2 linked regions of the Oryzias latipes genome follow. The protein of the gene in region 1 interacts with the protein of each later gene in a biochemical or structural test. Links are inferred from orthologs where the notes say so. Each region holds a gene or a part of one and is shown on either strand. Other genes may lie near its edges.

Region 1 (4,389 bases):
TCCCTTTTTCTACGTTAAAAACCCATTGCAAAAGTGTTGTGTGATATAATCTCAACAAACACACATATCTACAAATATGATAAATATTTCTGGCTGGCACTGAACCTTTACAATGTGTATTAATTATGTCTTTGTCATTCATTTACTTCTCTATTTACACATAAATACTTGTGTGTTTTTTTAAATTGCAGATTTTCATGTAGTTTGGTTGTAGACATAAGTGGTTATTTATTCATTTTTCATTCATTTATCTTCTAAACTCGTTTTTGTCCCTTTCGGGGTCACCAGTCACTCATGGGCGAGGTAGGCGGACTATACCCTGGACGTCACCAGTCTGACGCAGGGCAGCAGTTGTTTAGTTTTTATTTTATAATATTCTCTAAGTTTTAAGACTTTCTATTATGGAAAATTATTGTAAAAAGTGTGAAAGTTGGAAAGAAGGCAGATTTTATTTTTCTCTGATAGGATTTTTCATACATTAAGAAAAACTTGATGTAAAGAAAAAACACGAACCAAAAAAGAAGTAAATAACCGATAAAAGACTATTGTCTTATCATAACGACAAATCAACATAAATTGAAACTGCACATAGATGTATTTGCTACTTAAAAACAACATATTTATTGATTAATATTGCTGTTGGTTTTGTTTTGCTGGGGTGTCAGATATATAAATAAAGTCAATGACAGGCATTATGAATTAAATTACAAATTGGAGTTAACATGATTAAAATTATGCATAAATCAGAACTCATTTAGTCAGGTAATCTAAATTACCTGAAGACAGTTTGGAAAAAAGCAGTTTGGGAAAAAAATAATAAAAAAGAAGCTTTATAATGCATGTTTGGGTAACAAACCTTCTCATTACTTGTGTAGAAAGATTATGTGAACAGAGCTAGAATATTCTAACTTAAAAATAACTTTGCTTCTTAATATAAAAATATATTTTTTTACTACTGTAAAATAGTAATATCTTTATATGTGTAAATATGAGAAAGTGGAAGAATGGTCTTGCCACAAGGATGCCAAAGATATTGAAATTATTATTATTATTACTATTATCATCATCATTGTTGATATTATTATTGTTTTATTATTTCATTATCAATATTATTATTCATATGACCCATCATTATTAAAATTATTACTGAAATTACTATTAGTAAAAGTTCAGCTATTTGTCATTTAACCTATGCTCCCTCCGTCCACTTGGTGGCGACACAACGCTATTGTTCCATTAGTTTATCGTAAAAGAAGAAAACAAAGGCGCCTATTGGATGGTAATCTACCCCCGGAAGTTGCGTTGGATGAAGACATTTGCTCTCTTTTGGTGGGAAAATGAGCAACAATAAGACACGTTTACCTTAAAATAACCATTCCTACCGTGGTCTTTGTGATGTTTAATATAACGTCAAGTTAACGGGTACGTGTCAATCATGAAGCTACATATTAATTCACGTTTGCCTTTCAGTTTGTTAAAACGATCAGGCTGTTCACGAAAAAGTTCAGTTTTCTCAGTCTGCTAGCTTTTTCTCGCTAGTTAGTTTGTTGCTCCTGTCAAACATCAGTAATTAACACTTTTCTATGCATTATTTAGTGTCACTCCGAAAAGCTGAACGTTTGTGTTTTCTCGCCAGGTTAAAACAGTCACAACAGCGCCCGGTTGGCACACTTAGTGACAGATAGATTATTGGATTAAAAACACTAGTAGCAGGAATACCAAAATGCCAGAAATCAAACTCAAACACGTCGTATCCTGCACTTCCGAGGACAATGTAAGTTGTTTGCTGTGTTTTTTTTTTTTTTAGTGTAGCAGTTAGTTGTGGCTTCATGGCTTTATTAAACCCACTCTTCGTTGTGATATAACAGACTCACAAAGCGGACAACCTGCTGAGCTCAGACACCTACAGAAAGTGGAAAGCAGCGAGAGCCGGGGAGAAGCAGACATCAGTCATTCTGCAGGTTTGATTTAGCTTTCACACTCAAGTTAATGCATTTCAGTTACGGATGTGAGCTTAGTTTGTTAAAACAAAAAACAAAACTGGCTGATTTGAATGATTTTCCACTTCATTCCATAGATAAAATGATTGAAATACAGGCATAAGTTGGATGTTTTTAAAAAATTGACTTATTTTATTCCTTCTCTTATTCCTTTTCTCAGTTTGAGAAAGAGGAGCAGGTGCACAGTATCGATATTGGAAATGAAGGATCCGCTTTTGTTGAGGTGCTGGTGGCAAACTCTTCAGCCCCTAAAACTCAGGACTACGAGGTATTTCTTCAAAAAATACCCCCCCCCCCCCATCTTTACTCTTTGTTACTTAACAGGATGTGCCCTAATTTCAAAAACTCTTTCAGGTTCTTCTCGTCACATCTTCCTTCATGTCTCCAACGGAAAGTCGTAACGGATCTAACCTGAACCGCGTGCGTTTCTTTGGACCCAACCAGCTGCAGAAGAGCACAGCTCAGGAGAAATGGGACAGAGTCAAAATTGTTTGCAGCCAGCCATACAACAAGGTGAGGATTTTGACCATTTATATAAACAAATATCTCCATTTTTAGAATCGGATTTGGCTTATTTCAAACAATCTAAACCAAAAATACACGAAAAAAAAAGAAAAACCAATATCTATCTATACATAGATTTAGCAAACTTTGGATGATTAATTGCGGCTCGAGGTACATTTCCATATCATCTGTTTTGTTCCTTGTCGTTAATAAAAGTGTCATTTTGATCAATTGGATTTATTGAAGTGCTTTGGGGGAGTAAAGTTATCATATGTTTAGTGCACACAGCACACATGGTTCATGCTGTGGTTCACCTTCAGCCAACTGAAATGAACCTGCCAGTCTTACAGTACATGACACATTAAATCCATTAAATGTGAGGTTTGTCTCAAAGAGGTTAATTATTTGCTTGACAAGCAGTGGGAAGAAAAAGCTAATGTTGATATTTCCTTCTAAATTGACTCAAAGTTCTTGTGTACGTAACTAAGAACAAAAATAGCAAAAGTGTTGGGATAAACATCTATAACTTAAAGAAAATATACGCAACTTACCGGGCTGTCAAACAAAATACAGTTTGTGGAAACAGTAAAGTCTTCATGTTTGGTGTTGAAGCTTCATGACTAACCGTTAACCGAAATGAAAGCTTTTTTTTTGTGCCTTACAGAACATAGCGTATGGAATCGCCTTTGTTAAGTTCCACTCTCCACCTGACAAAAATGAGCCTCCAAGTTCCTCCCCTGTAAGTAAACCACTGTTAACTTTTTTTTTTCTATTTTATTTTCCATTTAAAAGTTAGGAAACACTAAATTAGCCTTATTAACACACGCTCTCATAAAGAAAATGGTAAGATCTCAAGTGTTAGTGGGTGCACCTCAGCACTCATGCACTTCATCACATCTAAGTTTTATAAATGTATGTAAATCTTGCAAAAACTGAAACTATTCTGATTTCAATAAACGCAATGTGATGTTATTGGATTAGTGTCATTTGTTAGTCTTTTTTTTTAAAACTATTTTAGATGTAACCCCTTAACTGCACACTTAACACACTTTTCTCTCTTGTTTAAACTCTTAAAATTCAAACATTGATTAAAGCATTAATCCATTGTTAGAGAATAAAAACATAGATATGCTAGTGATAGAGGATGTATGTAAATGTGGCAAACTGAATGCTTTCTGTGTAGGATAGACAGTATGGAAGAGGTTGATTTGGGAATACAGCCAATTAGGATGCAGAAGACAATGTGCTGTTAAAAAAACAAATAAAAAAGGATACAAACTGCATTAAAACATCAGGTGAACTGCAATATAGTGAGGAACCACTGCACAAGGTGGTAGATGCAATGTGTTTGGTTTTTTAATTACAAATCTGGAGGGAATCCAGAAAAACCAACATGGGAGTGTTGTCAAACAACTTTGGAACTTTTTGTCACAAATTGTGAGTCCCACCATCCTATTTCTTCTGTTTCCTTCGTTGTGTTTCCCGCTCAGAAAGTGACAAAGCTGGGACAGTTCAGAATAAAGGATGAGTCGCCTTCATCTGGGTCCAGTCTGCAACCCGGAAGTCTCTTCTTTAACCGAGAAAATGCAAACAAGTCGAGCACTTCACCTAAAGGTATTGAAATGAACTAAATGGCAGAATCCTTTTCAGATCTACTTGAAAAAATCAGCCAACAAGAAGCTCTGTAACTTAATTAATGTGGGCCGCATTTACACTGCATGGTTGAGGTGACCCAATTCCGATTTTTTTTCCTCTCATGTGGCACAGATCGGACATGACCGGTGAACTTGTAAGCAGGAAAAAACCGCATGGATTCCGTTTTTTCAGATCGGATTCAGACCTCATTTATATGTAGAAATGAATCGGATACGTGCATTTGCGTTTT
Region 2 (3,820 bases), on another chromosome or scaffold:
CGCTCAAAAACAGTTGATTTTTGCATGAAATGGGCTTTTAAACGTAATTTTCTTTATATTTGTCTTCCATCGTTCTCATCAGACAGAGCCTATGAGACCCCTGTGTGACGCTCATCCTCCTGTTCTGGGTTTCTCCTTCTCTTAGATTGCTGGTTTTGACATCGATGGATGCATCATCACAACCAAATCAGGCAAAGTCTTTCCTACCGCACCAGACGACTGGAAGTATGTCGCTTCGCATGTTTTTACCATCATCATCGTGAAGATCGTGGACGTTTGTGTCACTGCTATCGTCTTTAGGCTTGTATAGTTGGATTTACCTGTGTGCTCGGGCTGTTCCGGCCTTCTTTTTTCTTGATAACCAGGATTCTTTACGTAGAGATTCAGCCAAAACTGTCCAGTTTGCTTAAGAAAGGATACAAGGTGAGCGAAGAAATGAGATCTTTCAGAAGTTTCAACCAGTAATTGAAATATTCCAATGTATTTGCTCTGGCAGTGCTCAACTCTGGCTTCTAAAGTGTCCGCTCCTTCATCAGGTGGTGTTCTTCACCAACCAGCTCGGGATCGCCAAAGGCAAACTGAGGCCGGAGGTGTTCAAATCGAAGGTGGAGGACGTCCTGGCCACGCTGCAGCTGCCCGTGCAGGTTGGTCACTCTACAGGTTGGAGCGGCGGGTGGGAAGCAGAATTGGAATCCCCTCCTTGTCCCTGTTTCAGGTGTTTGTGGCAGCCGGTCCTGGAATCTACAGGAAACCAGTGACGGGGATGTGGGACCACCTGTGTGAGAAGGTTGTCAGGAGCACGCAGACACCCCGGCAGACATTCACAGACGGGCCTGGAAAGGTTTTCTCTGCTTTGTCTTCTGTTGCTTTTTCTGATTTGTTGATCTCTCTGCGTGTTTCCTGACCAGGCTAATGACGGCGTGACCGTTGACCTCAAACAGAGCTTCTATGTGGGAGGTTAGTCCTTTTCGCTGGCATGTTTCAAACACTGGAATAAAAGAAGGCTGTGTTGTATTACAAACTTGTCAGAGCTAAACCTTTGAAAACTAAGCTTTATGTTGGTTCAATAAAGGTCACAGTTTCTGCACTGTTTCCTGACTTCTTGGATTCTTCTGTTATCAGACACGGTTGTGTTTGTGCACATACCTGACATGTTTCAATGGACGTCCGTCGAAACATGTCAGGTATGTCTGATAACAGAAGAACCTAAGTCAGAAATAAGCTTTTAGTTGCTTTTGTAGACATGAGGATCTTGTCATGTAAATGTCAAAGGTCACACGAACACATAAGTGCACACTAAGGCTGCAGCCGTCTGTTTGTGCAGACGCTGCAGGGAGGCCAGAAAACTGGGCTCCTGGCAAAAAGAAGAAGGATTTTTCCTGCAGTGACCGTTTGGTAAGAGCTGCTGCCTTGATGTGTTTCCTCAGCTACTCATTTTTGGTTCCTTTGCCCCCCCCCTGCATACGTCACGCCAAACATCAATGGCTCCAAGTTTCCCTCCTTCTGTTGCAGTTCGCTCTGAACATTGGACTGCAGTTCCACACCCCGGAGGAATACTTTTTAGGCTGGAAGAACGCCCCCTTCAACCTGCCTGACTTTGATCCTGTGAGTACGATTCCCCCCACGAAGTCCTCTGTCCCCAAATATCAAGATATTTATAGAATATTCATAATGTGTGTAATAATGGTGATTAGCCTACTTGTTGTTAAACATTTCTATTTTATGAAAATATTTGTTCTGTACTAAACTTATTCTGAAAGTTTAGCCTCTAAACATTCGTTTGGATTCAGAAGGAAGGTCAGGAGAGACACTGAAGTCTTTAGTGAAGGAGTTTTCTGACTGAAATTATTATAAATTCATTTATTTATTTGCTTACTCTGCAAAAATGGAATCTTAAGGAAGTAGAACGACCTTGGTTTCAAGAAAAATGTCCTTTTTTCTGTCCTGTCTTGCAAGAAAACTAATCTTACCAAGAAAGTTTTTCAACAGCAAAATAGCCTTAAGGAAACATGTCTTAGTGACTGGAACTTTTTTCTTCAAATAAGAATTCATTATAAGACCGTTTTTCTTACCCCATTAGTAGAAATTTTGGCTTATTAAAAGTCCCAGTCCAACTATTTTTTTCTATTGTAACATTGCTCCCAGTGGTCTTTTAATTATGATTATGCTGTTTATACATAAAATAAAAAAACTGTTTTTAAGACATATTTTCTGCAGAGCAGACGGGGTCATTAGAAATGTGCGTTTGGGTGGGACTGTTAGCGCGGAAGTTAGCCTAGTTAATTTCCTAGCATGCCTCTGTTTGCTCTCTCTCCTACGACCGAGTTTTAGGGCCACGGTGAGGAAAAAAATTCTCGAGAAAAAACTCGTCGTGTCGAGATAAAAGTTGAAATAAAGTTTCGAGATTAAAGTCGCAATGTTGCGCGAGAGCAGAAGTATTCAGTGTTATGGCTAATGTTAGTGAGCTAGTGGCTTTGTACCAGAGTTTACGACAGAGTTTTATGGCCACCAAAAAAAAGTAATTTTATTAGGAGATAAAAACTCGTAAATTTACGGGAAGAAATTCATAGATTAACAAGGAGAAAACACCGAATTTGTCCGTTTATCGGAGCCTAGCTTGAAGAAGAAATGTGTGGAGCCTTTTGTGAAGCTTTATTTCCGGATTATAGGTTTAAAACAAAGAGATTCTGAGCCTTTGGCGACTCTAAATCAGATTATTGTCAGTGGATCCGTCTTTCCGGGGTTTGGTGTCAGTAAAGCGGCGTTTCATATGTAAAATAAGGAGCTCAGAGACACGTTTGGGTGTAGAGAACCGCTGCAGCCTTTATTCTCCTTTTCATTCACAAACCCTGAAGTTCATCTGTCACCTTACGTCATGAATCTGTCATCAGATCACCAATGCAGAAGTAAACAGTGTTCCATACACCCACTCCTCCAGATGAAGCGTCCCGTTTGATCATTAAAAAACAAAGATGAATGAAAATAGTCTGTTATATTAGCATTACAACGTTAAAATAGGCAAAAAGTGCTTCTCCTCCTCAGACTGAAGCGTCACACAAACGTAGAGATCTTGTCTTTCGTGGAGGAAGAAAGGATTGAAGTGGAAAGCTGCAGGGACACCCGATGGCTTCATCGGGCTGCAGAGATCCTGCAAACCAACCGTCAATAAATAAAACTTTAATAAATTGTAAATCAAACAAATGAGCTTCCAGTCATTTGGAACGTTATCAATAAACATTTAGCTCACCTGTTCAACTGAGTTTAGTCGGTCTGATCTGCTGCTGCGCGGCGTTCACCTGCTGCTCTGCATGCTGCTCACTTCCAAAATAATCTTGTAAATTTACGGGTTTTTTTCTAATACATTTACGAGTTTTTATCTAATACATTTACGAGTTTTTATCTCCTAAATTTACGAGATAAAATCTCTCTTGCGCAACATTGCGACTTTAATATAGAAACTTTATTTCAACTTTTATCTCGACACGACGAGTTTTTTCTCGAAACGTTGGCCAGAATTTTTTTTCCTCACCGTGTCCCTAAAACTCCGTCGTACTCTCCCGCTAGCAACAAGCACCTCACAAGTCCAAGCTAACATTAGCGGTGCAAAAAATGGCGTATAAATATACGGCGAGGTATCCAGCCGTACATTGTAGATCCAGTTTCCAACAAAATCGTTCGACTGACGACCGACCCCACCTACATAAACACCTATAAAAAACGCCCCCTCCCTCTTTCGCGGGTGGTTTCTCCTCTAAGCTCGGGTCCTCTAGCAGAGGCCTGGGAGCTTGAGGGTCCTGCAGTATCTTAGCTGTTCCTAGAA

What was found.
Region 2: the proteins of xrcc1 (region 1) and pnkp form a complex in vitro, tested with the Homo sapiens proteins (3 studies listed by BioGRID and IntAct, with this or other methods). The link is inferred for Oryzias latipes from reciprocal best matches to the Homo sapiens genes XRCC1 and PNKP.

The regions. Positions count from the first base shown.
Region 1 is NC_019874.2:25,075,594-25,079,982, forward strand, and holds the start of xrcc1 (DNA repair protein XRCC1), read left to right. Parts: upstream 1-1,276; 5' UTR 1,277-1,422; intron 1,423-1,636; 5' UTR 1,637-1,723; coding exon 1,724-1,774; intron 1,775-1,868; coding exon 1,869-1,961; intron 1,962-2,160; coding exon 2,161-2,268; intron 2,269-2,354; coding exon 2,355-2,513; intron 2,514-3,168; coding exon 3,169-3,243; intron 3,244-3,994; coding exon 3,995-4,118; intron 4,119-4,389. UniProt on the Homo sapiens protein: Scaffold protein involved in DNA single-strand break repair by mediating the assembly of DNA break repair protein complexes. Negatively regulates ADP-ribosyltransferase activity of PARP1 during base-excision repair in order to prevent excessive PARP1 activity.
Region 2 is NC_019871.2:32,537,844-32,541,663, forward strand, and holds part of pnkp (bifunctional polynucleotide phosphatase/kinase), read left to right. Parts: intron 1-145; coding exon 146-225; intron 226-365; coding exon 366-423; intron 424-536; coding exon 537-644; intron 645-715; coding exon 716-787; intron 788-908; coding exon 909-957; intron 958-1,324; coding exon 1,325-1,395; intron 1,396-1,512; coding exon 1,513-1,605; intron 1,606-3,820. UniProt on the Homo sapiens protein: Plays a key role in the repair of DNA damage, functioning as part of both the non-homologous end-joining (NHEJ) and base excision repair (BER) pathways.